Linked DNA regions of Arabidopsis thaliana. The protein of the gene in region 2 purifies or fractionates together with the protein of the main gene of each other region. This does not show direct contact. Each region holds a gene or a part of one and is shown on either strand. Other genes may lie near its edges.

The links.
Region 1: the proteins of VIP4 (region 2) and TAFII21 fractionate together in Arabidopsis thaliana (co-fractionation; one large-scale study listed by BioGRID). This does not show direct contact.

What each region holds. Positions count from the first base shown.
Region 1 is NC_003070.9:20,213,399-20,229,073, forward strand, and holds TAFII21 (TATA binding protein associated factor 21kDa subunit), read right to left. Parts: upstream 1,868-15,675; 5' UTR 1,737-1,867; intron 1,488-1,736; 5' UTR 1,472-1,487; coding exon 1,211-1,471; intron 969-1,210; coding exon 678-968; 3' UTR 501-677; downstream 1-500. Other genes in the region: RSH3 (RELA/SPOT homolog 3), read left to right, coding at 52-363; SPL2 (E3 Ubiquitin ligase family protein), read left to right, coding at 2,082-2,453, 2,681-2,779, 2,868-3,029, 3,121-3,242, 3,425-3,544, 3,629-3,905; NF-YA5 (nuclear factor Y, subunit A5), read right to left, coding at 4,183-4,476, 4,591-4,764, 4,850-5,308; CID3 (CTC-interacting domain 3), read right to left, coding at 7,955-7,987, 8,085-8,153, 8,246-8,344, 8,442-8,585, 8,668-8,885, 8,990-9,020, 9,120-9,183, 9,250-9,377 and 6 more; BRX-LIKE3 (BREVIS RADIX-like 3), read left to right, coding at 14,299-14,430, 14,741-15,117, 15,402-15,479, 15,633-15,675.
Region 2 is NC_003076.8:24,596,171-24,614,241, forward strand, and holds VIP4 (leo1-like family protein), read right to left. Parts: upstream 11,556-18,071; 5' UTR 11,359-11,555; coding exon 11,242-11,358; intron 10,979-11,241; coding exon 10,647-10,978; intron 10,478-10,646; coding exon 10,348-10,477; intron 10,225-10,347; coding exon 10,024-10,224; intron 9,702-10,023; coding exon 9,525-9,701; intron 9,159-9,524; coding exon 9,027-9,158; intron 8,827-9,026; coding exon 8,647-8,826; intron 8,558-8,646; coding exon 8,429-8,557; intron 8,340-8,428; coding exon 8,250-8,339; intron 8,157-8,249; coding exon 7,905-8,156; intron 7,814-7,904; coding exon 7,676-7,813; 3' UTR 7,464-7,675; downstream 1-7,463. Other genes in the region: AT5G61140 (U5 small nuclear ribonucleoprotein helicase), read left to right, coding at 26-250, 319-420, 514-594, 680-760, 977-1,180, 1,281-1,397, 1,503-1,625, 1,856-1,945 and 18 more; AACT1 (anthocyanin 5-aromatic acyltransferase 1), read left to right, coding at 12,611-13,969; AT5G61170 (Ribosomal protein S19e family protein), read left to right, coding at 14,988-15,071, 15,327-15,417, 15,490-15,673, 15,960-16,032; AT5G61180 (Putative endonuclease or glycosyl hydrolase), read left to right, coding at 16,697-17,147, 17,235-17,716, 17,884-18,071. UniProt on the Arabidopsis thaliana protein: Component of the PAF1 complex (PAF1C) which is involved in histone modifications such as methylation on histone H3 'Lys-4' (H3K4me3). Involved in regulation of flowering time. Required for the expression of the flowering repressor and MADS box gene FLC.

The DNA.
Region 1 (15,675 bases), on a different chromosome or scaffold from region 2:
TGAGGATGTTTCTTTGCTTGGAGTTATAATTTGATAAACCCGAAAATGCAGATGACTGTGCAAGAGTTTCCCGAGAATTCTACCGTGTCGGACCTGTTACGCAGAGCAGGACCAGGGAGCTCGAGATGGTCAATGTACAGCATCCCGGCAAAGGAAGAGCTAAGGCCAAGACTTAACCAGACACCTGTAAGTGATCTGAAATGCAAGCTGAAGATGGGAGATGTGGTGGAGCTGACTCCAGCCATACCTGACAAGTCTCTGACTGAATACAGAGAGGAAATTCAGCGGATGTATGATCGAGGGCTTGCGTTTTCACGGCCTCACCGTGCAGCTACTGGTACCATGGTTGGCTGGGGAAGCTAACTGATTCTCTTAATTACCTTTGTTCATGTATATATACTATAGTTGCATATATAGTATAATGCTTCAGAAGATTTGTTGTACCTTCGGTATTGTTGATTCCCACACAACAGTGTATATAAGATATGCCTATATGTTCTAAAAAACTGACTCTGGTCATTAATATTTGATTCTCTTACATTCTAAATCTTCAAACCACACATCTGGATCTGGTCCATAAAAACTGGCTCTGGTCATTAATTTTTGATTGTGTTACATTTCTACTTGTTGATACATAAATATTATAGATTTTTTGGTCTATCTACTTATTTGGGTACTTATTTGGGTCGTCTAGAGAGTGGGAAAGAGACCCTTTGAGGAGTTTGGCTTGGAAGGTCTGAGGTTTGTTGTTGCTGCTGTTGTTGTTCTTGAGAGGACTGTCCAGGATCTGTCATTTCTTCATCGTCCTCGGTTTCTTCAGGTTCTGTTGAAACCGACTTCTTCGGTATCACGAGCTGATAATTTGGGCTCAGCAATGTGTCCTGTTCAGGTGGGAGTGGAACACCGGGTCCTGCTATCGATTTTGGCAGAGGTATCTTGTTCCTACTTGCAGCAAGCTCAAGCAGAACCTAAATCAAACATCAAAAACAGAAACTTCAAGATTCAGGAACCAAAAGGCATGGATGTGACAGACAAAAACTTGAGGTTCTCAGTGATACAATTTATGAGGCAAGAGGGTCACACACAGTTCATAAGTCATAAGTAAGAGTGATAATTCCCTAATGATTCACATATACCAAATGACCGATCATATCGCATCTCTTCTCAGACAATGAAGAAGAAGAAACATGGAATCGTCAACAATGCATACCTCTCTTGGAGGAGGCTGTGAGAAGCTGAAATTAACTTTGGATTGAATAGCGAGCTTCACATCATCACAGTCAATGTTGGGTTTGCTAGCATGCTCTGAGTAAACCTGAGCATCTGTCAACACTTCGACCACATACCGGTACCATAACTCCAGAAACTGATGTATCACACGAGGCTCGTAGTCTTCTACACCCATCGACTTAAGCAGAGATTTCACAATCTTAGCATCTCTAGGTACATCTTCTTCACCTTCTCCTGCCATGTTTATCCCTAAACAACTAAAAAAAAAGTAAAGCTACAGAGTCAAATTAAGAACCTTTCTTATACAGAATTGATGTTGCAACAACACAAGTTTCAATCGAATCTCACAAGCAAACATCGTGTAACAGCAACACATTACATAAATCGAATAAATAAGAATTAGAGCTTCACGAATCGGAGATAAGAAAGACAAAGGAGATTCTAACCTAGCTTCATCAATAAGTTCCAAAACACAAGATTATATGCCATAAAGAGGCGATAAATACCTAATGCGAGAGAGAAAGTTTGGTGGAGAGCTAGTGGCAGAAACACGACGGAGAGATTGATGAACGGCGGCGAGGAATCGGGAAATACTAATCTCTGCCACTCTAGATCTGATATTTATGGTTTTGGTTTGTAAATCTGCTGTAACGTTGAGGGTGTAAATGTAATTTAACTAAAACGCTATTTATTACTAGTATTTTGTATTTCACTCGTGCATAGGCCCATTAAAGACCCAAATTAGAACGACGGTCGAATGTATAATATTAAATACCGATAATAGCCTCATTTCTCTTCCGTTTACTTGTCCGTGTGACCGTGTCTACGACGTTGAAATCGAAATTACCACAATGTCCTCGCCGGAGCGTGCTCTCTTGAATCTATTGACGGACATCGCTCTCTCCTTCGACGGCGCAATCCTCGGACTGACTTTAGCTGTTAGCGCCGTCGGTTCTGCTCTCAAGTATGCTTCTACCAACGCCGCGTTGAAGAAGATCAAAGATGCACCCGAAGTCTCCATTTCCGACCTCCGATCACTGCTTCCGGCTTCTGAAGACAAATCAGAGACTAACGATAACAGGAAGAGCAATGATCAGCGAATCGTTGTGGTTCGCGGAGTCGTCAAACCGAAAATTTCCGGTGATGAGGGTTACAAGAACAACAACGTGTTAATCTCTCCGGAGACTGGAGATAAAGCTCTTATCATTCAGAGAACGCAAACTGTACGTTGCTCTAAACCCTAAGTGTTTATGTTTCCCTCAAATTGCAATTGACATTGACCTAATTTTGCTTTGTGTTCTTATCAAAGGCTTAGGTTAAAGAGTTTGGATGATTTCTTCATGATTAGGTGTTCATTGTGATTGATTAAGTTAGGATTATGTAAGTTGGTACTGGTGTGATCTCAGAAGGGAAATGTATGTTTCTAATGTCATCATTTTGTTGTTGACAGTATGTGTATAGTGGATGGAAGAGATTGTTTCAGTCCACTGGTCACCGGTTTATGTTGGAGAGATCATTGCGCAAACACGGTGCTGATTTTACGAGAACGGTAAAGTCTCTCTATCAGCTTCAGAGCTTTCAACTTTGGCTCTGTATCCATGATCAAACTTGTTTTGTGTATCCTTTGCTTTGTGCAGGTCCCATTTGTCATTGTTGGAAAGGATCAGCAATCGAACTCTAGTTTTGTCGCTGTTAACATGGATGGCTCAAGGCAACCTCTTCCGCTTACCACTGTGTATAATCGCTTGCAGCCTATTAATTCTTCGTTTCTTCAAGCCTTTTTGTACCCCGATTATCCTGTGAGTATATATATATTCAAAGAAATTTCTGGTTTTGAGGAACTGATGGTTACTTGTTCTTGGCTAACTTTGTAATCCTTTCTCTTCCAAGGTTGGTCTGCTTGATATAGAGAAGATTTTACCACCTGGGAAAGATATAACAGCTGTTGGCATCTACAGTTTTAATAATGGAGTTCCTGAAATCAAATCGTGCCAAGATCTTCCTTATTTCTTGTGAGATTTTATCTGAATATTTTTCGTTCTTATATATCTGCCTGCGTTCTAGCTCAAATTATTACTTCATCTTCTTCTTTATGTTTTCTCAATCTGTTGATCATTTGACAAGATTTAGTCCATTGTTGCAGAAAGGCTCTATTTGCTGTTCATATATAAATCTTTATGAATAATCTTTGCAGATCAGAGATGACCAAGGACAAGATGATTGAGGACCTTATGGAACAGACCAACTTTATATTCTTGGGCAGCGTTATCTTGGGCATTGTGTCTGTTGGCATCCTTAGCTATGCTGCTGTCAGGTACTGGAGTTGTGAGAGATCAGATTTGGTTTTAGATTTGGGCAATGTTTCGATTTGAAATCTGTTTAACTGTCTTATCTTCAGGACCTGGAATAAATGGAAACAATGGAACCATCAGAGAGAACTGCCACAGAGACCGAACGATTCTGTGGTCGATGATGAACCCGAAGATGCAGATGAAATCCCAGATGGAGAATTGTGTGTGATCTGCGTGTCAAGAAGGAGAGTACCTGCGTTTATTCCCTGTGGACATGTAGTATGTTGCAGGCGATGTGCTTCAACCGTGGAACGAGAGTTAAACCCTAAGTGTCCAGTTTGTCTTCAGAGCATTAGGGGATCTATGCGTGTATATTACTCTTAGTGACCCTGAATCTTCTCTCATTGTATGTAATAGGGTAATGCAATTTGTACTCTCAGAGAATCGGAAGTTAACAAAATAGTTTGACAATGATTTGAAAGTTCGTCAAGTCACTCAATATAGAGTGAGAGATTGTAGAGGATATGAAAGCAAAGTTTTTAAAAGGAAGAAATTTTGTAACCGATAACATAAGTAGCCAAGGATGACTTCCCGTCATGTATCATCACCAGTCTCCGGAGTTTAGCCTGAGTTCTCTCGGAGCAAGGTCTTCTCATGTGCCTCAAGTCCCTGACATGAGAGCTGAGGCATGGTGTGTTGACGGATAACCTGAGAATCTGAACTGCGGGTTTTGGAACATGTTGATACAGTTTGAATTGGAGCTCGGTGAGATCGAACTAGACCCGATTCCGCTTCCACCACCGTGAGGGCTCATAGAGAAATTTTGTCCATTTGCCATTTGAGAAGAACACAGTGAGTTTGATGATTCTTGAAGCTTCTTTGTATTGAGGAAACGTCCACCGGAGCCTCTAGCTCTCTTTAAAGCATGAAGATGGCGAGACTCATGAAGGTACGGCTACAGAAAAAGAAAACAAAACTTTATTACATCAAATCATCAAGATCTTCTGAGTTAGTTTTCCCTCTTTCTCTTTGGTGTTTTAGGCAAAATGGAAAGTGAAAACAGTCATACTTTACGGCATTTGATGAGTTTGTTCTGAGCTTCGAGTTTAGCACGGTGCTTCCTGCGACGGAGAATCGCATGATACTGTTTCGCATTGACAAATATTGGTTCATTCTCTTGAATGTGATGAGGCAATGGCACTCTTGAAGAAACCAAACCCATCATCTCTAAATGTGGCAGCGCCTGCAAAAAGATTTCCCAATCAACCAATCAATGCGCCAGATCGATTCAGAATAGTAAAAGCACAAAAGGCTTCACAGCATATTACCGTTGGTGTTGATGCATATTCAGGAGCCAAGAAACCATTGAAATGTGACGTTTCAGCACATTGAAGAGACCAAGATATTTGACCAGAAGTAGGAGCAGGAAACACAGAGTCTTGAGACACCATCGACGAGGTAGTAATTGACTTAGTATAATTTTCAATAGGCTTTCCCAAGTTTTCGATGTAACCTGAGAGATTGTTATTAACAATGCTGCATCCATAACGCTTATATTCTCCAAAGCTTGCAACTTCACCGCCGCCTGATTCTTCTTCAGTAGATTGTGATGAGGTTGAATCTTGATTTTGCAGCTGCAAACCCGAATGTTTCATCGCGGGTAATTGTGTTGTAGACATTATCATATCCTTAGTCAAGCTGAAAGATTCAGATCCTTGAATATTTGAATTTGTTGTAGGCATTGAGTTTCCCCAAGATGAATCTTCTTTCCTTTGAAACACTTGCATTGTCTTCAAATCTTTACTTCAATAAACTAAATGTCCAAACCAACAAGTCCAGTCATAAATCATATGATATTATTCATGATCCACATAATCAACAAATACAAGAGAGAAATGATACCAAAAGATTATAAAAGCAATCCTAAAACACAGATTCCAGGTTCAATGACACAGTAAGATTGTTTCATGATCTAAAGGGTTCCAAAAGATTCAAACTTTGAACATGGCTAGAACTTACACAACATGCAAACAAAAACTAAAATCGACAGATTAAATTTCTGAGTTTGAACAGATAAAAAAACTCATCAAATCTCATTGAACTTAATGATCCAAGAAAACAGAGAAACCAACCAAAAGATTTTTTTCTCTCATAACTCAAAAATTATTATTTTTAATTATATCATCATAAGTAGAAACTGAGCAACCAAATCATAACATCACTACCAAATAAATTAAGCGAACAAGAAGAGAGAGAGAGAGAGAGAGACCTTTGGTGCTTTGGATTTGGTAAGAAGAGATGGAGAGAAAAAGAAGTTAAGTAATAAGCTTGAGATTATGATGATGATGATGATGATGAATGATGATGATGATGCATGTCTCCTTCCTCAGAACATGGTTGTTTCTTTCTCTTCACTATCTTTCTCTCTCTTCCTCTGTCTCTGCAAATTGGGTATTGGCTATGGCTTAAAAGACTAATCTTGACTCCTTTTCTCTTTTTTTTTTTTTAATTATGGTTTTCTTCTCTCAACAAATGCATATTTATTCACACACAATTTATTAAATATTTTAAAATATTATTTTGTTTCCATTTCTGAATTTATTTGCAGAGTTTGACATTTCTATTTGTGGTATTTTTTCTTATCTTTGTTTATATTGTTTATGTTTCAAAAATTAAGTATATCGAATCAAATCGTGTCACGTAGTGCTTTTATAATTTTCAAATCAGGTTTAGTTTTATTACAAAACAAAATAGAAATATGTAGGCAACAATAAATAATAGAAAAATCTAGTAAAAGATAGATATAAATTTAGAAGTGTGACGCGTGTATAATCTAGACAAGGCTAGAAATATATCTAAATATATAAATGATAGTATTAAAATGTTAGGAAGGAAAATAGAAGACAAGAAAAACCAAAGTAAAAATGTTTATGGTAAATATTTCCATTTATTTCAAAGATGTTTAACACCTTTATTTTTATGTTCATATCAGTGATGTTTTATCAATTTATATGCGATTCTATTCAGCATATATATTACAAGGTTCAAAGATTCTAAATAATATATAGAGGGTATCTGAAGTATCATATTCCTTAATTGTTTCATAACAAAAATGTGCAGAATTCTAAAACATTGTTTATATAGTTGAAGATATGTAATTATGTATTATCTAAGCGTACTTTTTTTTTCTGTCTTTTTGTTTTTGTTTTTGTTTAAGAAGGTGTTTTTTTAATTTAAAAAGCAAAAGTTTAAGTGGAAGGTTGTCAACATCTCTTTATAGCGCAATCAATATAGTAGCATTTAAGCGAATAAATTAAAAATATTTTATATTTGTAGTTGGGGTAATTGATATTATTGCAAGTCAAGCAAAGCAAAGCAAAGCGAAAGAGCCCTTTTTCACATTTCTTGATGCAGCTTCCCCAACACAAAGCAGCAATGAATCGTAATTTCTGCACTATCTCTCTGCATTTAATCCACAACTCTGAATAGTAATTATAAGGAAGACAAAAAAACACTATAAATACACTCCAAAAGAAAGAATATAGTATATAGCAACATTTCTATTTCTTGGACACCTATTTGTAGTTCACTACAATGACACTTTGTTTAACTAGTAATAATTGAAGTAATACGAGACTTTGTATTGTGGGGAAGATTAATTGTTGTTTGCTACACGTACCTTTTACTTATTTGCTTTAGAGAAAAGAAATGCGTAACTATCATGCTTCGAACGAGGGAAGTTACAGGTGTTACTTCAAATATTATTATTATATATCAACAGTATCTAGAAGTTCTTAGAAATCAATTATTTGATTTACCTATGTTTATGTTTATAGACTTACTTAAACTAATATTTTCAAACACGACAAAGTTAATATTTTCGAATCTCCCCTAACCTCGATCCTTAACACACCGCAATAAGATTTATATGCATTTTAGGACAAGACAAGACTAAACCCATTATTAATCTAATAGTTCCAAATTTTAAACATTACGCTTTCAAATCCAATCATAGACGCACTCCACTTTTTCCCTACCATGTCTTAACACGTATATGTAAGATTGAACTACAATCGTTGATTTTCCTTTTCACAAATGAAAAAGTTTTTTTTCCTACCTAACTGTTTTTATATAAATAAAACAAACTCCACACAGAATATGTCATACAACTAAAAGATTTAACGTTAAAGTTTGAATAGGGAGACACAACAGAAGTGAATAAAGAAATGAGATCAGCACGAATCTAATGTAAAATCTAGTCTAATACCTAAACAAACTAAATCACCATCACATCAATTGTGTTCATTTTAGAATAAAAATGAAAAGATTCGGTGCTTTGGAAATAAATAAAAATAAAGTACATTAAATGAAACCAATTCCATCAGCTCGAGACCTTCTCTTGTGCCACCACCATTCATGGTTTTGGCCAAAAGCTAATAAGAGTCTCTTCCTTTGTATGGCATCTCCTGCAATAAAATCAAAGATGTCAGCAAAATCTAACTCTGTTGATCATTTTTTTTTTGTAACTAGACAAAACAAGAATTTTGAAGTAAAGTAGTAAACCGGTTGGTATGGCGTTGGCGGCATGAACAAGATTGGTCTCTGCTGAGTAACCATCATCGGTTGTGGGTACTGTTTTAACATTGATTCCAAAATTCAGTCTTACAATAGAGAGAAGGTAAAGAGTTTTCAAGAGTAATGACTATTAATAGCAATAAACAAACCTGTGGACTATTTGGAGAATAATATGTTTGATTCGGACTAAGCTGTGTTGTATTGTTATACATCATTGGGTGTTGTTGCCCAGGGAATGCTGCTCCCGTCTGTCAATTTTCAACTTAGTGAATCAGAAACATAATAACAGAGACTTAAAGAGTAATTTAGGCGTTGATCACTAGATAAAGAATAAAGAAAAGTTACTCCGTATCGAATATGTAGTCCTGGCATGGGTGGAACAGGAGGATAATAGAATGATCCGTCAAAGACTGGAGATTGAGGAGATTGAGGACGTGTTGCTGATGGAGATGGTTTGAAACTCTTTGCGTTAGGGTTCAGTTTAAATTCCTGGTCGGACCTAATTTCGTTAGTAAAAAGCTTATAGTATTAAGGAGATATTAGATGATAACCTAAGCACTAAGAAAAAAACCTTAGCATTTGGGTTGAGTGTGGATTTTTCTGATGATAAAGAACCCGAAGAGCTTGGTGACAGTATTGGAAGATTTGATGCTGAGGAAGCTGCAGAGTTTTCTGAATTTCTAGAAATGGAGCTTCCAGGCCACCCAGAAGAGTTCTCAGACTTTGCTCTGTCAGAGAGTAGACCGAGTCTTCCATCAATGAAACTTGGCTTCACAGGTGGTGGTGCATCTTCATTGAGGTGGCAATTAAAAACTTAGTAGGAAATTCAATTGGTATCAACATATAAGATGAAACGGGAGTAGATAGATTCGATAAGCTGAAGTTGCACATACCTTCAAAACCAGACACTGATTCCTCAGATGGCTGCGTTAATACAGATTGAAGCCAACAGAACAGTGTTATATGTAATGTTCCATTAAGCAAATGCCAAATCAACACAAGGTGCGTCGTTTAACTTTATACCTTTTTAAAAAGGGAAGCCCCTAGGAATTTGCTCTTTCTTTGCTCACCAAGCTGGCTCTCATTCCTATCAGAATGAGTTTCAGAAACTAGTTCAATGAAAGATATTTTGTATGTTCAAAGGGAAAAAGACCTGATGTTGTTTCCTGCAACAGGAAAATCTTTGGATGGCAGTTCGGACATAAGCTGGCGAGTATGCTTATTTGAGTTCGACCAGCTCTGATCTACCATTTTGTTACTCCGTAAATGCAGGCTGTCACCCTGAAGGACAAAAAATGGCAATATCACCTATGATTCTCCTAGAAACTACTAGGAGTGAAGAACTCAACCATACCCATGAATCTTCATAGAATTTGCCAGTTGAAGCAGGTTCCTTGCCATCAGAAGCAGAAGAATCACCAAAAGTCAAATTGTTGCAGCAATCCAATAATATATCTTCTTCTTCTTCTTCATCGTCTTCATAACACGTATCATCAAATCTATTAGTCGCACAGACCGATGAGTATTTGGTTTCCTCATCAATATCAAACTTTCCACTAAGCTGGAGCCCTCTTTCCTGTGTAAGATGATTGCACGCATGACCATTAGAGGTGAAATATGGTACAACAATAAAACGTAAAAATTCAGTGTCACATAAGACATCCATAATTCACCTCTGCTACGTGAATATCTCGGGTATTCTCACCCACAATCTCTCTCGCAATCCTTAAGGCTTGCTCTTCTAGCTCCCTCGTTCCAGGACCTCTCTCAAGTTTTGTGGTATACAGTTCCTCATCAAAAGTGCTTGTTACTCCAAATAATGTCTTATTGACCTCAAACTGATTCCAGCCCCTACGATATCATCACACACATATAAGATGTCATGAGAAGTGTCGTTAACCCAGGAAGTGTACATGATGAAAGAATAAGAAAAGAGAACAGGGTTAACTAACTGCGGACAGAGGTCTCACACTAACCCGCATGTAATTTTCAATATATGTAAAAAGCTTTTTTATATTCAATTTACTAAGTAAAATGATATTTATTTTGAAAATTACATGTATTATATACTATATTTCTATTTGATTCTGTATAAAAATTAAACTTAAAGTAAAGAAAAATGAAAATTTTATAAACGACAGGCCTACTCGCAAAACCCACCAAAACCCCATATTGGTCCAACCAACTGCAAGGCGGTGTAGCCCGCTTACACAACCTAACCAACCAATGGGAGGAATTGAACTGGGATAAATAAATCTATGGCTACTTGTTAGAGTTAAGAATCAAGAACATGAATAAAATACAAAACTCTTTTTATTAAAAAAAGAATCATAGTACCAAGAATAGAAATCGAGAAAACGATGTTGTCTCCCTCAGCCTAACCCGATACAACCTCCAAAGCACTTTCTAACTTAGTTCACAAAAGTAAACACAGAGGAAAATGAAATAGAGAAAACAGTTTCTATATCAGAAAACAGAAATCCTAACAAAAAGGTAAATATCCTACTTTAATGAATAGCATCATTACCTCTTCCAAGGATCATCAAACACATTCTCCAGATCTGAACAGTCTGGAACATCTTCATCAGGTACCCAAGGTTTCAGCTCTCTTTCCAAATCAACATTATAAAACTGTGATATCAGAGAGTCTGTCAACAGCTCTAAAGGTTTCTCGCACTGAACAGAATCTGAGACGCTATCGCTGGATAGAGGAAGGTCCTAACAAATAGACCAATGACGAAAGAATAATAATGTCAAAACACCAAGTAGTCTTATGTTGTTGCATTCATGTGAACATAAAACCCAATCCCATCTGCAAGAAAGGAGTACATACCTTAGCTATAACTTGCACAAGTTCGTCAGCAGGGATTTTGAGTAGCTTTGAAGATGGCTTGCTGACAGTACGGGATTTGGTTCCTCGTGAATCCCTAATCAAGCATGCCATTTTCAAAATGATTCCTGAAAGTTTCATAGCAGTTTGTAAGGGATAAAAAAAATGTGACCTCTTCTTATATTATATACCATCTCAAAGGAACAAACAGGTTCTCATTCAGAGCCTTACCAAAATCCTTCTCCACATTAGCAGCATGAAATATGCCGCTGTAAACAGATCCATTTTTGAGATGAACTTCTACCTGATGTCCAATATTACAAGTTGTGAAATACACTAACAGCTTCTGAGAAGGGGTATCCACACTTTCAGCGTCCCAACCGTTTTCTGCACATATGTATCAACAAACAAGAGAACGCAGAACATGATGTTGGTGCTACATCAGAGTAAAGGTATATATGTATATGTCTCGAAATATATATACAAAACCTGTATTGTCAACAGAAGGCTGTGCGTTATTCATCCATGCCTCCTTTTCAAATCTCCTGTGTGAAAATCCATTGGATGAAGAACCCGAGTGAAGAACAGGCTTCATAGTTGCTTTAACCTGAAGAAAACGAAAATATCAATAAACGGGTTATTCAATAAGATGATAAAGATAACCGTCTCACGGTACGATGAGCCTAATATGCAAACTGGCCCTCCAATTCGCATTCTTGCTGGCATCAAAACTTCTTTTAGATTTCTTAATGCGATGTAAAAGTTATATTTTTTAGATAGAATGTCACAGTCAATTCCATATTACTAGGGGTTCGTCAACTAAACCCTATACAGAGAAGTAACCTGAATGTTCTGCACATTCCGAGGGAAAAAAGTATGCTATGAATTATCAATGAACTATAGAACTGAAACCATAAAGTAACTCTGATTATGAGCCATGGGAAGAACAACCAAAAACTGCCAATAAGATGTATATTGCTAGCCATTTTCCAGCACAATAGGCATACAACAAAACGTAAAATTAGAAGATTGGTGTTCTATCCACTAACCAAGGATTTGAATCCCATAACTATTTTGCAATGAAATATGTTACATTGAACGTGATTCAATGTTACGAAAGACACAAACTTGCGCAGGCTTCATACATCAAATCAAATAACAAATCATAATCACAGCTCTAAAGAACAAATAACATGACAAACCACAAAAATTCAAATTTACCAAATAATAATAAACAAGACAACTTTTTGCAATCCAAAGAATAAAATTTTCAATACAAAACGAATTTGGCCTAGACAGAGTACCCAAATGAAACCCTAAATCAACCAACTGAATCACCAACTTCTCAAAATTTGAATCAAATTAATAATATTTACCTCAATAAAATCAGAATCAGAAGATAGATATCTGGGAAGATAATATTTACCTCAACAAAGCTGGAATCAACAGCTTTAAAAATCCAATGCTACGAGGAAACGAGTATTGGTAATTTCCGTCGCGGCGAATTAGGGTTTTCCGACAGAGTTAGGGGTTTACCGGCGAATTGAGGAGAGAATCGCGGTAAACGGGTCAACAATAAATCTCTAGAGTTGAGATTTTGATTTGATTTTTTTTTCGTTGTTGCAAACTTTTCAATGAATTGAGGGAATTTAAGGACAGATCGTTGTGTTGTGTATTTACGAGGGTGTGATCACCTACGGATGAGCGTATCATTAAGTTTTTGGGCCTTTTGTTTTGATCCGTTTTAACTTGTTTGGGCTTAACACCTTTGTTGATATATTTATCTCAATAACTACTTCTTCACAAGAGATTATATCTCACACGTTTATATCTCAAACATTATTAGATTATATCTGAAGAAGTAGTTATTCAAAAGTTAATTAGCTATATTTATCTCAATAACTACTTCTTCAGATATAGTATATCCAAAGAGATTATATCTCAAACATTATTAGAATTATCTCAAATTATTTGTCAATTGAGATATATCCAAAGAGATTATATCTCAAACATTGTCAATTGAATTTTATAGTTATTAACTTCTTACAAGTCTATAATACAAGTAGAGAAAGTTAAGTACTAAGTTTTCATATTAAACAAAAAAAAAACTCTAGATTAGGGTTTAAAAAACAACACGGAACCGACCCAAAAAATTGGATTCGAAACCAAACCTGAAAATTTAGATCTATCTTATTGGGTCCTAAACTTCTTCTACCCAAAAATTCGAGCTCAACTAGAACCCGAAAATAACTAAATTTTATCTAAATTTTATCCAAAGATCAGGGAAATCTGGGTATTTATCCAAAAAATTCAGGTATCAGTTCTAAAAAATGTCTAAAAATTTATACCTACACTTACCCGATCGGGTTTTACCAAAAACTGACTCGCGTACCCAAATGCCCACCCCTACAAGATTAACTTTTTGAGAGGGCATGATATGCATTGCTTGATGATGTGGAAGGTGTACTTAAACTCATAATTAATCAAAAGGCTTAAACTTTCAAGGAAGAGAGAAAAAGGTGGGGAGCAAGTCTATAAAATTTGTATTATAGTAATCAAAGCTTTTAGAAATTAAAATGCTAAGGCTTAGTTGCACGCTCTATTAGTATAGTTCTTCGTTTAGACTTTAGACTTTAGAGCAATCATTTCACCACTTTGATCACATATTCTTACTTGTTACCATAAAGTTAAGCATAGAGATTAGAGATGACTAATGTGTTTGGCGTTACTGTATATAATAATCAGACTTGTGAAGAAATTATTTTCCCAAAAGTAGAAAACGAAAGTGACAAGTGGCACAGAGGATCAATAAGAAACACAGTAGACCACACTCTTAAAGCTTTTTGCAGTGTCCAACGAACTCAAAAGCCCAACAAATCTCAAAGCCTTTTTATTACTTTTTTCCCAAATCCGCAGATTCTTCTTCTTCAGCTTTGTATTTCTTCTCCTACAGAGAGAGACAGCGAGAGAAAGATCGATTCTGTCTTTATACAGACATTATCTCCCACTCATTCTCTGTGTCGCTTGAAGCAGCAAGAGAGAGAGAGAGACTGACAGAGACAGAGTTAAATGCGAATTTATGGGTTTGATCTATACAGATCTGTGTACCCTAATTTATGTCTCTGGCGTAACGGTCATATTTAACCCCATTTCAATTTGAGCTCTTCATCGCTGCGTTTCTGTGATCTCGGAGCTCTTCCAAGTGTACGTCTTTTTTGCCTCTTTGTATCTGCACAGTGCAAGAATTGTGATTTTTGGGTATTAAAGTATCTTCATTTCTAGATTTGATCTTCTGGGTTTTGCTTGAAATGTGATTTGGGTTTCTGGTTTGATCTCATAGGGTTCGAGTAGTGTCAAAAGAGAAGGTGAGAGATGCTGACGTGTATAGCTTGCACGAAGCAGCTTAACACCAACAATGGCGGATCTACTCGAGAAGAAGATGAAGAACACGGAGTTATTGGTACCCCTAGGACTAAGCAAGCGATTAAATCACTGACGTCACAGGTAGATTAATCTTTCTGCTGAGTCACTTTCATGGATTGTTTTGGTTGCAAGTGAAAATGGCGGGACCATTCTAGTTTCGTTGTTGGTTTCTGTTTGGGAGCTAAGAACAAAAAAAAACATGTTAAAGCATGACTCATATGGTTTGGTAGAGACTTGACTCTGAGTCTTGAATCAATATTTCTTTTCTTGGTTGAGTTTGAATAATTCTTCAAACATTTATTCCTATGAATTGTCAGTTACTCTTTTATCTGTAATTTTTGTCAAAGCATGCGTCTTTTGTATGTAAGTAACTAATTATTGTTCATTTCAGCTAAAAGACATGGCAGTAAAGGCTTCAGGGGCATACAAAAACTGCAAACCGTGTTCTGGGACAACAAACCGGAATCAGAATCGAAACTATGCTGATTCGGATGCTGCTTCAGATTCTGGAAGATTCCATTATTCATACCAGAGAGCTGGGACTGCAACCTCAACTCCTAAGATTTGGGGGAATGAAATGGAGTCAAGGTTAAAAGGGATTTCTAGTGAAGAAGGTACACCTACGTCTATGAGTGGTCGAACAGAATCCATAGTGTTCATGGAGGATGATGAGGTCAAGGAATGGGTTGCTCAAGTGGAGCCTGGTGTTCTCATCACATTTGTGTCATTGCCTCAGGGAGGGAATGATCTTAAGAGAATTCGGTTCAGGTAATCGTTTCTTGCCAATATTGAACTGAATATATGTTTTGTGTTTTCCCATTGATCTGCTTTTACTGTCTTGTTACGGCATGTTAGGTTCTGAATTTGGAAATAGTGGTTCTTTTTCTTCTTCTTTTAACACTCATGAGTAGTACAATTGTTGATGATATTATTTGTGGGACTACTGTACTGAGAACACTTGTATTGTTTCTGATTCAATTGAAGTCTAGATGACCCTGAGCTTTAACAAGTCTTTCGTTGGCAATGGTTTTCATGCTATTGCTGAAATTAAGAAGCACCAGGTTTCCATATTACCGAGACCAGCTTCTGTTGTGGTGCCGTCAAGGATGGGTATTTTGGCCCCAGAATTGGTATCTCTAGCTCTTGGGGATTTTTTTGTATTCTGCGGATGCTGAGTTTTTTTGTGTTACACGTTAGACCTGTTTCCCTTTGTGGCTAAGCTAAAAGATGTTTTGGTGATTCGAAGCTAGATGGTAATGTTTTTAAATTGTTACTTCTTGTAGTCGTGAGATGTTTAATAAATGGCAAGCTCAAAAATGGTGGGTG
Region 2 (18,071 bases):
GATATAGTGGCTTTATGATCTACAGTTGTACATATCCCGTGGATCAATTGATGCATTTTCTCTGGTCTCTGATGCTTCATACATTAGTGCTAGTTTAGCACGTATAATGCGTGCTCTGTTTGAAATATGCTTGCGAAAAGGCTGGTGTGAGATGACTTTATTTATGTTGGAATACTGCAAGGCAGTTGATCGTCAACTATGGCCTCATCAGCATCCTCTTCGGCAATTCGAAAGGGATCTGCCTTCTGATGTAAGCTTCTGAATACTATTTTTACTTGTAATATGTAATATTTTCTCTAATTCATCTCAATTGATCAGATATTAAGAAAACTTGAAGAGCGAAGGGATGACTTAGACCATTTGTATGAGATGGAGGAAAAGGAAATTGGAGCGCTGATTCGTTATAATCCTGGGGGAAGGGTATATAAATCTTAAGTTCACTAAGTTACTGCATGTATATATGGAAAAAAGCACTAATGTTTTTTGGTTTTTTGCTTGCACTGGAATTTCTAGTTGGTCAAGCAGCATCTAGGATATTTTCCTTCAATTCAGTTGGCAGCTACTGTTAGTCCAATCACCCGCACTGTATTGAAGGTAGCTAATGGAGAGATTCTTCAATAATTTATAAGCTTTCAGACGACAAACTATCTATCAACATCTAATTTGTTACCATTTTTAGGTGGATTTGCTTATAACTCCAAATTTCATATGGAAGGATCGTTTTCATGGTACTGCTCTTCGTTGGTGGATTCTCATTGAGGTACTACTATCTAACTCCCATTAAGACACATATGTCACAGTGACAAAGAATGAGCTGTTTGTAACGATATAGTATCTCATGTTATAGCACTACTAAACACTAGGAAGAGTCAATACTCTGTGCTAGATACTAGTTAACTAATGATTTCTTCTTCAATAATGCTAACTCTTTTGGCAGTGTTGATATAACGCTTGTCTTGTGCTATTTCTTCGACAGGACACAGAGAATGATTATATCTATCACTCAGATCTTTTCACACTAACGAAGCGGATGGCTAGAGGGGAACCACAGAAGCTTTCTTTTACCGTACCGATATTTGAACCACACCCACCACAATACTATGTTCATGCGGTTTCTGATTCTTGGTTGCATGCAGAGACTTACTTCACAATCTCTTTTCACAATCTTGCACTACCAGAGGTATATATCTTCTAGAGGTTGCTATTTCCGAAATAGTTACAAGATCATTTCTACGCTTAAATTATCGGTAAGGTAGGTCCTAACAGTCTTCTTCATTCAGGCGCGGACGTCTCACACAGAGCTTTTAGACTTAAAACCTCTTCCTGTGACTTCTCTTGGGAATAAGTTGTATGAATCGCTTTACAAATTTTCACATTTCAATCCAATACAGACTCAGGTTTGAGCATATTTACCCTGTTACTCTCCTAATTTTATATTAAAAATGTTTTTCTTCATCACTCCTTTTTTAGTTAACTGAAAATTGTATGGTTTGGTGTTGCAGATTTTTCATGTGTTATATCACACAGACAACAATGTTCTTGTAGGAGCTCCAACTGGAAGTGGGAAAACTATATCTGCTGAACTTGCAATGTTGCGTCTCTTCAGTACCCAGCCTGATATGAAGGTATGAGTTTTCACTCTCCTAACGCTTGGTAATTATTTAGTTCGAGACTTCGACTAATGTTTCAGTTTATTATACATGATTATGTTTCAGCTAAATTGCCAGCCTTTTACTGAATCTACCTATTGAAATGAAGAAATGAATCTCTAAAATGATATCAAATCACGGCTTAGTTTAGTTTCTAGTGTTCTATTTTATCTTACTGAAGATGCCTAAATTTTTGTGGCTTGCAGGTTGTTTACATAGCACCACTGAAGGCTATTGTTCGAGAAAGGATGAATGATTGGAAAAAGCATCTTGTTGCTCCACTTGGAAAAGAAATGGTAAGAGGATATTGCCTCGGAGCATCTATACATGTTGCAGACTCATAATCCATGATTGCTGTTTATTTGGCTACCAAATATTATTCCTAACACTTGCATTTCAACAGGTTGAAATGACTGGAGATTACACTCCAGATTTAGTAGCTCTCTTGTCCGCGGACATCATCATATCTACCCCTGAAAAATGGGATGGCATTAGTCGTAATTGGCATACTCGAAGTTATGTCAAAAAGGTAAATTTTTGTCAATAGATTGCCTTTTTTGTGAACAGTAACTTATGATGTTCTGGGGATATAGGTCGGCCTTGTTATTTTGGATGAGATTCACTTGCTTGGAGCCGACAGAGGACCGATTCTTGAGGTAGAAGCTTAATAACTATTATATCCCATTTTCTAAGTACTTACGCTAAGCTCCATCTATTGGTTAGAAGTTTCCAGTTATATCATGACACATGCAATGTATCTATGGTCTTGGTGAAGAGCTTATATCTTTTCGGCTCAGGTTTTTTCAAAGTTATGTGTTCCACCAGATTTATTTTTGATCTACATTTGGTTTCCAGGTTATTGTATCTAGGATGAGATATATATCATCACAGACAGAGCGCTCCGTCCGGTTTGTTGGGCTTTCTACAGCTCTGGCAAATGCAGGGTTCGTATTTTAACTTCTCAGACTCTTTGAATATGCTCTTTTCTATGTATTATCATTAAACACGCAACTGAATGTTCGAGCTGGTAGACTGTTATTCGTGTCTTTTCTGTGCTGATGACATTGTGCTTATAGTGTGATTTGTGAGTGAAAGACTTTCAACTTTAGTCTTATTTACTAGAAAATGTTAATGTGGAAGATGGCTTAAGATATACCTTACTCCCAATTTTTCTGGTAGCCAGTTTTACTTATTCTCTCAAGTCTCCCTTTTCAGTGATTTGGCTGACTGGTTGGGTGTTGGGGAGATCGGACTTTTCAATTTTAAACCAAGCGTCAGGCCTGTACCAATTGAAGTTCATATTCAGGTAAGTCAATATCTTTTCTCTAGTTTGCAAACAATTAATACCTTTCTTAAACAAAAAATTTATGTATGTCTCCTACACTGTACTTGACTACGCTATTTAATTTCCATTTTCGGTGGGTGGATTAAAGGTATTCAAGGAAACCATACAAGTATGAAATTTCCAGACTTAACCTTGTTTATTGTTTTCAGGGTTATCCTGGAAAGTATTACTGCCCAAGGATGAATAGCATGAACAAGCCAGCATATGCAGCCATATGTACTCATTCACCTACGAAACCTGTTCTTATCTTTGTTTCATCCCGTAGGCAGACAAGGCTTACTGCATTGGATCTTATTCAGGCATGATTTATCATCAAACACCGATACCGAATCATCTTTTAACTATATAACTCTAATTTGTATCATCCTTTGTATCTTCTTTTCCTATGAAATGAAGTTTGCTGCCTCCGACGAACATCCGCGGCAATTTCTGAGTGTGTCAGAGGAAGACTTGCAGATGGTCCTCTCACAGATAACTGATCAAAACCTTCGACATACGTTGCAATTCGGCATCGGACTGCATCATGCAGGTTTAAACGACCACGATAGATCTGCAGTCGAAGAGCTTTTCACGAACAACAAGATTCAGGCAATTTCCTCAACATATTCTCTCTGCTGCCTTTACCGTATCCATGGTTACACTTTTACATTACGATTGATGATGGAATCCATGCTTCCATTACAGGTTTTGGTCTCAACAAGTACCTTGGCATGGGGAGTGAACCTACCAGCTCACTTAGTTATTATAAAGGTAAAAGAAGGTCCTCTTCTATTATTATGTTTGGGATCACTTTCTTGGATTTTCTCCTCTAATGATTTGTCTTTTCTCTTTAATACCGTTGTTTTTGGCAATGTTTCCTATCAGGGAACAGAATATTTCGACGGGAAAACCAAAAGATATGTTGACTTCCCTCTTACAGAGATCTTGCAAATGATGGGACGTGCAGGGCGACCACAGTTTGACCAACATGGGAAAGCGGTTATTCTTGTACATGAACCTAAAAAAAGCTTTTACAAAAAGGTCAAGCTCAGTTGGAATTATTTGGCAATTTTTGGTATCCGTTGCAACAATTTACCTCAAAAAGATCATACTTCCTCTGCATGCAGTTCTTGTACGAACCATTCCCCGTAGAAAGTAGTTTGAAAGAGAAGCTGCACGATCACTTCAATGCGGAAATCGTCTCTGGAACAATAGGCAACAAAGAAGATGCAGTGCATTATCTTACATGGACGTATTTGTTTCGTAGACTGGTAAATATGCTTCAGTTTTATTAAAAAGCGAGATACTACTTGAGAACGTGATTCTGGTTCCTTGAAAAATTGTGCTAAAAGCATGATCAGTTCCCTGCAGCCAGATTCTCTTTTTCCTTTCAGATTTTTCCATTACTGCAGAATAACCAGTTCATGACTCAATCTGGTATTTGATGTAACAGATGGCTAATCCTGCTTACTATGGGCTAGAAGGTACTCAAGACGAAACAATCTGTTCCTACTTATCAAGGTAAATATCAAAGTTATTAAATAAAGAAGATTTCTCTAACTAGAACCATTGTAATATTGGTGTATGCGGGCTGCTTTTTGTGTAGATTGGTGCAAACCACATTTGAGGATCTTGAAGACAGTGGTTGCCTCAAAGTAAATGAAGATAGTGTGGAGCCTACGATGCTGGGTACAATAGCGTCACAGTATTACCTTTGCTACATGACCGTGTCTATGTTTGGCTCTAATATAGGTCCTGACACATCGCTTGAAGTAAGAAGCTGATCCAGTTTATATTGATTATTCTTTTTGTTTTTCTTTGGTTTCTAACCACTGCCCTTTAGGCATTTTTGCATATCTTGGCTGGTGCTTCTGAGTATGATGAACTTCCTGTGCGGCACAATGAGGTCTGGTCTATACTGTTTTACTTGACGAATATATGGTTCATTTTTAAAAGTATCTTTAGTGATATGGTGTCAAAAAAAAAAAAAATCTGTGTCCCTTAGGAAAATTACAATAAAACACTGTCAGATAGAGTTCGGTATCCCGTGGATAATAACCATCTAGATGATCCTCATGTGAAAGCGAATCTGCTCTTCCAGGTATGTACTTCTTCACACTATCATGCACTGAAGAATGAAACAAAAATCCAAACTGTGTGAGTTCATGACTTAGGCCCTGTTTGTTTGTCCATCCACATGATCCATCCAAATGGAGATGAAAAATGATGTTTGTTTTTGACAATTTAACAAGCATTTGGATGGATCATCTGGATGATACATCTGAATGAGTATCTAAATTTAGGCAAATTTATGAAACTCATTTGGATGAATTTGATTAAACCATTTGGATGGAGATGTTTCATCCAAAAATAACAAAAAACTAATATACCCTCATTTATAGTCATAATTTAAATAATTTTATTTTCTATAGATTTCTCAAAAAATCATGAAATCACGTATTATTCTTTTATGTCAAAATCGTAAAATCGTGGAATTGCGTTTTTTGGCCAAAAATCGCAAAATCATAATTTTTGATGTAAAATTATAGAAATCGCTATTCCACCTAAAATCATAAAACTATATTTACGCTGAAACCACTAAATTATATTTTCTTGCCAAAATGACAATATTATGTTTTTCCGCCAAAACTGCAAAATCATGTTTTCCTGCTAAAATTGCAAAATCATTTTTCCCGCAAAATCATATTTTCCCGCCAAAACCGTAAAATCGTATTTTTCCGCCAAAACCGTAAAATCATATTTTCCCGCCAATATGTTTGGTATTGATAGTGGGTAATAATGTTGAATATTTGTCATTTGTTAAAATGAAAACATGGGTATTTTAGTTATTTTTATCTAAATGAAAATGTGAATGAACTACAAAATGATCAAACAAATAAAGATCCATTTAAATGCATCATTTATATTAAATTACAAATAACGAAACAAACATCATTCAAATGTATCATTCAAATGAATCATGTAAGTGGATCATTTGAATGGAAATGATAAATGATGAAACAAACAGGGCCTTAATCATATAATTCATGATTGTTACCATCTTCTTAATGCATGACATCCATTGCTCCAGGCACATTTTTCTCAATTGGCACTTCCAATCAGTGATTATAACACGGATTTAAAGTCAGTACTGGATCAAAGCATTCGGATCCTCCAGGCCATGATTGATATCTGCGCAAACAGTGGATGGCTCTCAAGCTCACTGACGTGTATGCGCCTTTTGCAAATGGTCATGCAGGTAGTGTCCTGAAGATTACTACTCTTAGCTTGTTCAAATTATTTCACTTTTGCAAATTAAGAGGAATCCAATTCTCTTTTTAATTCTAGGGCATGTGGTCTGATCAAGATTCGTCATTATGGATGATCCCATGCATGAATGACCTTCTTCTAGGATCTCTGACCGCAAGAGGGATTCACACGCTACATCAGCTATTAAATCTTCCAAGGGAAACTCTACAAAGTGTAACCGAAAACTTCCCTGCATCAAGATTATCTCAGGTGCTCTCAAATTGGTCACAACTATTTCTTTTGCATTTAATACTTTCACTCATGGAGTCTCAACTATTCTCTGCTGCACTCTTCGATCTTAATTAGGATCTCCAACGATTCCCACGGATCCAAATGAATGTGAGACTCCAAAAGAAGGATTCCGATGGCAAGAAAAAGCCTTCAACGCTGGAAATCAGATTGGAAAAGACATCAAAGAGGAATAGCTCGAGGGCATTGGCCCCTCGATTCCCAAAGGTTTCACTTAAAGACTTAACCACAGATTAGTTTGAGCTCGAAACAAAAATGAAATTGAATTCAACACGTTTATTTTGTGTTATAGGTGAAAGACGAAGCGTGGTGGTTGGTTCTTGGTGATACTTCAACTTCTGAGCTCTTTGCTGTGAAGAGAGTTTCGTTCACTGGTCGTCTGATCACACGCATGGAGTTACCTCCCAATATAACCTCTTTTCAGGTACAAACAATTTTCAACTTATTTTCTCAAACTAAATCATTCTTTCTTACACTTCTATGTATATATTATTATTGCTGAATTGGTTTTTTTTTTTTTGGCCAGGATACGAAACTCATCTTAGTTTCGGATTGTTATTTGGGGTTTGAACAAGAACACTCCATTGAACAACTTGCACGACGCGGATGAGCCATTAGATGATGGATTGTAGTAACCCCATATTTTTTTGGAATTTGTTTTATATATTGTCAAAATTTTCTTAAAATTCTGGTTTTTTTTTGTCGTCTTCTTAATGTAAAACCAAATTTTACCTTACGTTTTGTAATAAAACAGTGTTACAGATCTTTTGAGATACATAAGAAAAATAATGAAGAGCTTAAGGTAAATGTGTTAATTTTACATAACGTTATGTAGAACAGTGTTACAAAAAAATTGGGCTACATGACTACATAATAAATTAATCAAGAGATTAAAACTAAATGTGTTTACTCTGTGACAGTCTGTTTGGTAAATTTGTTTGGGTCAACAAGTTTACGTTATTTTGAACTATCTCCATATCAAATTACCAATTATTCATTACAGTTACAGAAGGGAAATAAAATCCATTATTACATGAATTTAAAAAAATCATGATTCTGTCTTTATTTTGATTAAAACGAGTCTAATTCCAGACTACATTATAACAAATGGACGAAAGGAGAGTGAAAGATTTGACGAACATGATTAATCTTCGTCACTGTCATCAATCACGGCCTTACGACGATGAGTCGGAGCTTTTCTAGGCGGAGACTCCTCCTCGTCAGACTCAATCCCTTTCCTTTTCCGGCCACTTCCACGGTGATCCTTCTCTGCCCTACCTCCCTGCATAAACCACATTTCACCACACATTACAATCTCAATGAACTTCCTCATTGACAACAATAAAAATGGAAGAACATTCTAATTTGCGTACCGCAACCTCTTCCTCTTCTTCATCTTCATCTGAGTATCTGTTAGATTTTCCTCGTTCCTCTTCATCTTCTTCTGCATCTTCCTCATATTCATCTTCTGAATCCTTGCCCCTTCCACGGGCCGGTGACTTTTCTTCCTCTTCTTCTTCCGTCTCATATTCTGATTCCTCTCTCTCACTCTCAGAATACTCCATTTGACGTCTTGACGGTCTGGCCGAAGTCATTGAAGACCTCCCCGGAATGCCTTTGTGGCTCTGGTTTTACCCCAGTGAGAAGCAGTTGAATATTAGTTCAATTTCTAATGCTTTTTTTGCATTCCGAGATATATGAGTTTTTGTTTTGTTTACCTTCTTGGCGTTTAGAATCCGGCGTTCCCGTTGCGCTTCAGCTTCGAGATCTTCCTCATAGCCACGGTTTGAGCGGTAATCCTCGTCATCCTGGTTCCAAGAAACAATCAGTCGTTACTAGTGCAATCTTTGCTTTAGAAAATGGAAGAACCCAATATACACAAACTAATCAAACAGACCTCATCAAGAGCATCTTCCAAGTAGCCAGTGGAAAGTTGTCTCCTTTCAACAGGAAGTGGATACTTGCGCTTGATTTTCTCCCTCGCCTGACTCAGCTTTGTACTAGCCTTGAGGTTTTGGCTTTCCGCCTTCAGAATTTGAGATATTAAATGAGAAAAGTCTACAAACACTGCAATAAAACTATTGTTGGATTGTCTGAGCTCAATTAAGAGGTAACCTTTTCTCTCTTCTCCTTCTCCCTCTCAGGGTCAATGTCAGTGACACAGTTCTTAACTTTGAAGGCCTTCTTCTGCCTCGATTCAACAATGGCAGTCAAGAGCCTATGGGAATTTGACGTCAGCGATGATGGGGTAAATCTCATTTTCTTCAAAATTCTTCCTTGTGATTGAAGGATACCCTACACCAACATCCAAATAAGACAACACTTTGAGATATAGCAGAGTTGGAATGCAGGAGACATTTGGTTTCCTAATGAGAAGTTTTGTCATTTAGTATAGAGAATCGTATGGGTGCTCTAAAATGAATCAGTGTATCTAGGAGGCTGGAGCAACTACAAATTGATCGCTAACTAAGGCAGAAGGAATGACGAAGTAACACCTTTTCATGTTTGATAAAGAGGTGATTCTGGTCTTCTTTTGCATCTTGTTCAGTTATGTTAAGAACTTCGTTTCCTATCAATAGCTGTAAGCTTCCATCTGACCACCTTACAAACCGAGCATTACTTTCACTCTGCATACGAATATAGAGTGACTTGAGTTTACTACAGCAAAAGTAACGGAAAAAGTAGAAGAAATGTGTGCAATAAGCAACAAAACCAAGAATTCTTGTTTATGGGCAGATTTCTAATGAAGCCTAAAGAATAAGAAGAACTGTTGAACAGAGATATCATAAAATTTCATCTCCAACTATATGAACACATGTCCGTAGTGAAAAGCACAAAGTAAACTAATTCGGAATACATAAATTGCATCAAAAGTATGTACTTATAATACATCATTGCATCAGAAGTACTAGTAATAGGCAAACTACATAGCTTCATTGCAGGTTTGATGGAAAATTTAAAAGCAGAAAAGCTTTGAAGAAGTGTTCACTTACATATGTTTTGCCATCTCGACTCTTAACAAACCTATGGCGAACAATATTATTGTCCAAACGGATACGATTCTTTGCTCCGGGTTCATCTGTCATGAATGTGTCTTCTTCAACGAATGTTTTGGCATCAAAAGGCTTTGGATCAATCCCCATGATATTGGAAACTTTTATCATGTTCATCTGAAAAAGATCAAAGAGAAAACGGTATATGAGGAAGCGCAATTTTGCTACAGAACATCTTCACTACAGATAGACAACTAGAAAATGGGGTTTCAGATATAAAACAGAATAGCACGCTCATGTACACCAAATGGCCCTTCATGCTAAGTAAATGTAGAAGCATGTTTCAGTGCAATGGTTCTCCACATAAAAGACATCAGATACTCACTCTTCGAACCACAATGATATGAGAGATTTTGGTAACTTGGAAATACCAGAAAGGAAACTATTGATTTGAAGCCATGTCAGCGAATAATCTTTTAGCAACATAAAGCAGGTATACCTTAACGGGGTCACCTGGAGGAGGGCGGAAAGGAACCTCCACTTCCAAAGGGGGACCAACTGGCCTCTCCCTGTACCTAGCTTCAACATGTTCAGCTTCTGACTCGTATTGAGGATCTTCTTCAGGGATTATATCATCAAGCACCATATCATCGGGTCTCAGATCCTTCTCAGAGCCCTCTTCATCTTCGATTGGCGATCTCTACAAAATTAGACATCTCATCATACATACATGCAATTTCATATGGTTTCTAAAAGGAAGCAAACACTGGAAAGGAAACAGATATTCTGTAAACTGAAATGTAATATTAGATGCAAGACTCACATGTTCATCCTGCTCAACGTCATTCCGAACATATTCTTCTGCGTCTTCATCATCCGAAGATCCGAAAACATTACGAATATTTACGTCTGACTGTGCAACTTGAACCTCTTCCTTCTCCTCACTAGGTGATCTACCCACCACGCCATATTTCCATGTACAAAAGACAAAGTGATCCATAAGAAATTTGAAAATCCAAGGAACCTCAGAGGACTAGCAAGTATTATTAAATCCAGAGCACAGAAAAGATCAAAAAGAAGCTATGAAACAGCTAGGAAAAAAAAGAATGGAAAAAGGGGTACCTTGGACTCCTAGTCTGATCAACCTCTTCATCTTCAGACTCATAATGCTTTTCACCAGACCTCTCTGATCCGCTCTCAACAACCTCCTGTCTCCTCTTTTTGGCTACTCTACCCCCATGTTCTTCTTCTTTGTTATCACTATCACTATCTCTTGCTTCACTTTCCTCTTGTGGATCAGCCTCCTGTGAACTTTGCTCCCTCTCACCCTCACTTTCTCCAGGATCAAGTTCTACATCTCCCTGTTCCCCGTCAGACTCAGCTTCAGCTTCTCCGTGAACTTCAACCTCAGCTTCACCTTCTCCTTCAGGCTCCACCCCGCCCTCAGCCTCATCCTATCAGTGTTTACATTGGAAATTTCAGCCACAATTTCACTGATATCTTAGTCTAGTTGATATTAAGAAGAACTGAAGCTGAATTAGGCCTAATAAGTTGCATTGGTTCCTGCAATTAACCTAAAACCCTAAATTCAAGCGAGAAGAACTCCAGAAACCATTCGTATTCCAAGGTGTAATTGAAGAACAGTGGCAGTGAAAAATACGAAAACTGAAACAATCAATAGTGACGAAACGAAGGAGATAAAGATGGAGAGAGTTACGGAAGCGTAGTTAGGCTGACGACGATTGCATTCATGTTCGGATTCGATCTCTTCTTCCTCGGAATTATCTCCGAACAGATTAAGCATCATCTCGGATCTCTTTTCTCCTTTAACCATCTTCGCCTCACTTACTCAAAAGTCACTGCCTCTTAGCTGGTGACGGCGGCTCGTGATCTGAGCTCCGACGAAGGGTTCACTGTTATCGGCCTTTGTTGAAGAAGCTATTTTTTTTTCATCTCTACCTCGCGATTTTATGGCATCAGAATTATTATTATTAAAAACAATTGTTACAACTTACAAAGAAAAGGAAATTTTCATCGATATATCTTTTTTAACGCATTACCGGATTATTAAAAATCATTTTTTTTACGTGTAACGACGACTAGAGAGGGAAAAAAGATGGGATTTTATGGGCTTTTTTGAGATTGGAATTCAATATTTTTGGCCCACAAATTTTGGGTTATGGATACCAGTTTCTTTGTGATAGTGAGCTTGTGTTTGCCTTGGCCCCTATGTATATGAATGATACAACATCCTTTTAACTGATTCTTTTGGCCCCTATTTTTTTATATTTAATTTATTTTAAAAACTAATTATTAACTTCTTTGATCAAATAACTTGAGTTGCCAAAATAAATGTTATGTCTTCTTCTAAAACATTGTTGTTGGTTTATAGATTTTATCTGCTTTAGAAATTAACAAGAGACAAAGATTAGGTAAAAGCATAACCGACTTGTGTTCTATGAAAACTTAAGTGACAACTAAACATCATGAATATTCAGGAAATCCTGAAAATTTAAACAGAATTATAGTAATTTCTGAAAAACTCAAGAAATTATGGAATAAAAAGAAAAAAGAAAAAACTATGGACACTTTTAAATTACTCAAACTAGTTTAAGGCTTTTGGAAATTTCACTTTTTGCTTTTTTTTAACTCGAGAAAATTACAATTTTATGTAGACACATTTTGCTCACAAATGTTTATTTATATATTTTCCATAAATTTATTTTTCAGCCTTTTATCTACAAAAATTTATCTTCTAAGAATGTTTTTACCACCAAAAATAATAAATATAAACCACAAAAATAAAATTATATATTTTATATATATATATATATATATATATATATAACAATTTTTATCTATGATATCTGGCAGTCGCAGTTGGCTTAAGCCGCCTGGCCGCCTCTGGAGGGACCAAAATAATTCAAATGGTAATTACGTGCCTTGGCTTCCAACCAACGTTTTTGACTAGGGCTGACTCGGTAGCTTGTTATGTTAGTATAAGAGTTAACTCCATCTGATACTCAGCTGAATAAACTCATACGTACAAAGGAATATTATCTAAAAGACGAGAGTACAAGTGAGAAATGGCGTTAAAGGTGATCAAGATCTCCCGAGTCAGCCCTGCAACCGCCTCCGTCGACCCGCTCATTGTCCCACTCTCGTTCTTTGATTTACAGTGGCTTAAACTCAACCCTACCGAGCAAGTCTTCTTTTACAAACTCACCGAATCATCATCATCTCGCGACGTTTTCTACTCCTCCATCCTCCCCAAGCTCGAGCGATCTCTTTCACTCATCCTCACTCACTTTCGCCTATTCACGGGTCACCTTAAGTGGGATTCACAAGATCCAAAGCCGCATTTAGTTGTTCTCTCAGGAGACACACTCTCTCTCACAGTGGCTGAGACTGATGCGGATTTCTCACGTATCTCTGGCAGAGGGCTTCGTCCAGAGCTAGAGTTACGCCCTCTAATACCCGAGCTACCGATTTATTCTGACTCGGGGGCTGTTGTATCTCTGCAAGTCACTTTGTTCCCGAAACAAGGCTTCTGCATTGGAACCACAGCCCACCATGTCGTCTTGGACGGCAAAACGGCTGAAAAATTTAACAAAGCATGGGCTCACACTTGTAAACATGGCACCATACCGAAAATTCTACCAACGGTTTTAGATCGTTCTGTCGTCAATGTTCCAGCCGGACTTGAACAAAAGATGCTCGAACTTCTGCCGTATCTTACGGAGGACGACAAAGAGAACGGAAGAACCCTAAAGCTACCTCCAGTCAAAGAGATTAACGCTAAAGACAACGTCCTCCGAATCACCATCGAGATAAGTCCTGAAAACATTGAGAAACTCAAGGAGAGAGCCAAGAAAGAGTCAACACGCGCTGAGCTTCACTTGTCAACGTTCGTAGTCACGTTCGCCCATGTGTGGACATGCATGGTGAAGGCACGTAGTGGTGACCCAAACCGACCGGTTCGTTTCATGTACGCTGCTGATTTTAGGAACCGGTTAGAACCACCAGTCCCTGTGACATACTTCGGGACTTGTGTCTTAGCCATGGATTTCTATAAATACAAAGCTAAGGAGTTTATGGGAGAAGATGGATTTGTCAACACCGTCGAGATTCTCAGTGATTCGGTCAAACGTTTGGCTTCACAAGGGGTAGAGTCAACTTGGAAAGTGTATGAGGAAGGAACAAAGACAATGAAATGGGGTACACAGTTGTTGGTCGTAAACGGGTCGAACCAGATTGGGATGTACGAAACGGACTTCGGGTGGGGAAGACCCATTCACACTGAGACAATGTCTATCTACAAGAACGATGAGTTCTCTATGTCCAAGAGGAGAGATGGTATCGGTGGCGTCGAGATTGGCATCTCTTTGAAGAAACTTGAGATGGATACTTTTCTGTCTTTATTTTACAAATGGATTGGAAACTGAAAACGTACGGTCTTAATCGATCCCAGCTTTTGCTTATTTGTATTTTTATTTCTAGTTCAATAATTGCCCTATATGTACTACGCAAATTTGTATTGATTCTGTCTTTTGAATTCTATTTTTTGGGGTACAATAATCATCCATATTTGAAATATTAGTAGACTTTTCATGATCAGTGAATCTATTTCCCCCTACTTTGAAAAATCGAAACTTTGATTTCAGAAAAAAAAAGCTGTGATACGCAGTGGCGGAGGTACAGCTTCAGGAGGGGGGTCACTTGACCCCATGACTTTTACAAAAAAAAATTTAATAGCTTAATTATTTGGTATTTAGTATATAATTTGGGTTCAAATATTAAATTGACCCCCTTACTCGAAATTCAAATCCTATTTTTGCCCCACTCAATTACCATATTTTGTGTAAATCAATCTCATTATTCTTCTTCTATTAATTTCCTGAACCCTATATTAAATTTTGGTAACTGGTTTTATTATTCCCCTAAAAATACATGAATTTAGATAGACAAAACAATTAAATAATGTGGGTACTAATCTTTACATTTAGATAAACAAAAAACAATTTTAGTAACAAAAAAGATGTATATCATTTTTCACCAGATTTTTAGTAAACTTTTAAATAGAAAAATGATGAATAACATATGACTACTCGTGTATTTTCCACAAAGAATTTTTTTTCGGAAAAACAACAATAATTTACGAAATTGTGATATTATTTTTTGTTCTATTTTTTTATCTATAAAAAATTTTTTTTTAAAAAAAATCCTTGTTTTAATTTTCTCAGAAACGTGGGACCACAATATTTTCCAAAGGGTTCAGAGTTTAGCGGGCCGAATATATGTCATAGGCCCATAGGCTAAAACAATAAGGGTAGTTATGTAAAATCCGCTCACACACACTCCTCAAAAGCCCTAATCGTTTATCATAATTCCTCAATCCCGTCTTCAAGTATCGCCGACGCCGCAGCACAAAGGAGGAGAAGAAGGATCAAAGGCGCGACAACAATGGCGACAGGTAAAACAGTGAAGGATGTCTCTCCACACGAGTTCGTCAAGGCTTACGCTGCCCATCTCAAGCGTTCCGGCAAGGTAACGAATCGTGATTCTTAGCTTTTGGTCCGCATCGTTTGTCCCTAATCTAGTATTTTGATTGATGTTTGGGATTACGATTACCTCATGAAACTGCAATGATCACTGCCTGATTGAAACTTGAATTTGGCCTTACTCTAGAGCATTTTGAATCGTAACTACAAATCTCAATAAAGTCTAAACAGTGATTTGCTAGTGTCATTTCAGTGAAGATAGGTTTCTGCTTTTGATTCCAATGTTGTTCCTTCCATGTAGATTGAGCTGCCTCTGTGGACAGACATCGTCAAGACTGGTAAACTTAAGGAGCTTGCTCCATATGACCCTGACTGGTACTACATCAGAGCTGGTATGTATATATAACATCTGGTCAAATCTTCTACATATTGGATTTAGCATTGTCTTTATCTGTTCTATTTAGCTTCCATGGCTAGGAAGGTTTACCTGAGGGGTGGTCTTGGAGTTGGTGCCTTCCGTAGGATCTATGGAGGAAGCAAGAGGAACGGAAGCCGTCCTCCTCATTTCTGCAAGAGCAGTGGTGGTGTTGCTCGTCACATTCTTCAGCAACTCCAGACCATGAACATTGTTGACCTCGACACCAAGGGGTAAGTATATTGTCTCTAGTTTAGATTTCTCATTGGCCTAAATTAAGTTAATACACTGGTACAAAGAAATTGTAGGAAAATAAAAATTGTATAACACAAGTTAGACACTTGGATTCGATTTTCGCTTAAGAAATCTGCTGAAACTGTAATTGTGACCTATTAAAACTCACTAGATGAAGTGTGTATAAATGGTTTTAGAATGTACTACTGCGTCATTTACTAATATACCTATGGAAGCAATTGTTCATCTTCGCTAGCTTATGATTACATGTTCTGATGTAACCAGTGGAAGGAAGATCACATCAAGTGGTCAGAGAGATCTCGACCAAGTCGCTGGAAGGATCGCAGCTGCTGTCTAAATCATAGCGACTGATGGTCAACTCCAAGTTTAAGGTTTATGTTTGAGATTTAGTAATGGAATGAGTTGCATTTGATGAAAACCAGTAGTAGAATTCCCTCTCATTTTTGTTTTGATGAGTTTTCGTTTACAAATTGCCTCTCTTTTTATTCTCAGCGACTTATGGCTTATATATTTGATTTCATCTTTGACCTCCTTTCCTTTCTATTTCATGAAATTAGTTATCAAAATTTTGATAATGGCTTGTTTAGGTTTTTACATTTAAGCTCCTCGTTCTTCTTCAAAATCAAAGTGTAGAAACAGAGATTACCAATAACTAATTGTGAACGTTTCAAAGTTTTTAAAATTTCTTGTAAACGGAGGTAACCATTAAAAAACGAATTACATTTATTATTTTGTAATATTCAAAACAAAATCAAAATCTTGAGAATCGAAACCGTTACGTATACTACAATTTATATGATCACATTTTAAATTTCGAAAATTGAGGGACATTTCAAATTCAAGAAAACATATACTCCACTAATTTAGGGTGTCTCCGTTAGTTTCTAAAACTCGTTGCCCCTTTTAATTCCAGTTCAAAAGCTCACGCCTCATACACAATCTCTAAACCCTGACCTCCCATTTCAGTTTCTCTGTTTGAGAACACTTGATTTCTTTTAAAAATGGCGGCTACAGTAGCAGAGTACGCAACTGCTAAATCATTGGCGTTGCTGGACACAGAGAACCGCGAGGTTCTCAATAGTTTTGATGCCATTTTTACTCATGGCAACACCGATCAAGTCGCTCCTCTTGATGAGCCTCTGGTCTTTAACCGCTTTGGACTCAGTCACATCTCGGCCAAAGACACCCATCAACCAAAAACGGACGTAGATGAATCAGCGAAGGCGGATTTCGCTGGTGCAAAAACGTCAGTTTGGTGGGACATTGAGAACTGCGAGGTTCCAAAGGGTTGTGACCCTCATGGGGTTGCTCAGAGCATTAGATCAGTTCTGTCGAAAAGTAACTTCTGTGGTCCGCTCACTATTTATGCCTATGGTGACACAAATCAAATCCCTTCCTCTGTACAACAAGCTCTCTCTTCCACCGGCGTATCTCTCAATCACGTCCCTGCCGGTTAATCTCTCTTCTTGAAACACCTGATTAGCTATAAATTAAAGTATGAATATTTTGGAGTTAGTGAGACCAGTCTTTGCTTTGTAGTCTCTAATGGCTTAATTATTCTCTATGTTCTTGATGATGGTGAGCATTTAACAGGAGTAAAAGACGGGAGTGACAAGAAGCTCCTTGTAGATATCATGTTGTGGGCAATGGACAACCAAGCTCCTGCTAACATAATGCTCATCTCTGGTGATAAAGACTTCTCTTATCTTCTTCACAAACTAGGTATGAAGAGGTATAACATTCTTTTGGCTCGACCTGAGAAAGCTTCAACGCCACTCATCGCTGCTGCAAAGACCGTATGGTTATGGACAAGCATTTTTAATGGCGATTGTCCTAACATACCTATTGATCTCACTACTAGACGTCATCATCATGATTCTGCCTATGAGGTATCAAGACATTTGGGTCCTAAACAAGCTCAAGGGACCAAGAGGGGCCGGAGTTTTTGTGAATTATGCAATGTTTCTTGCTCAAACCATGATTTAACCGCTCACCTCTCTGGTAGAAGGCACAGAGCTAACGTAAGCTATACATTTCTTTTTCTTAATGTGTGCTTGAATATTGTCCTCTCTTTAAGCCTAATCTTGAGTTCACTCTACGGGCATTAGATGTGAGGCACATATATATATATGTTTTATGTTGATATAGTCTTGACAATTGTTGTTGTACATTTTCTCAACTTGTGTAGGTTGAGCTAGTAGCCCGTGGACGCCCTCTTGTCAGTAATTCAACCGAACCAAAGTATGCATGGTGCCGAGTTTGCCGTTTGCGTTTCCGCAGCCAAGCAAGTTATGAAACACACATCTTAGGGAAAAGCCACCAAGAAAAACTTGAAGACCAAAACGAGCATTCCAAAAAGCGCATCTGCAGGACCCC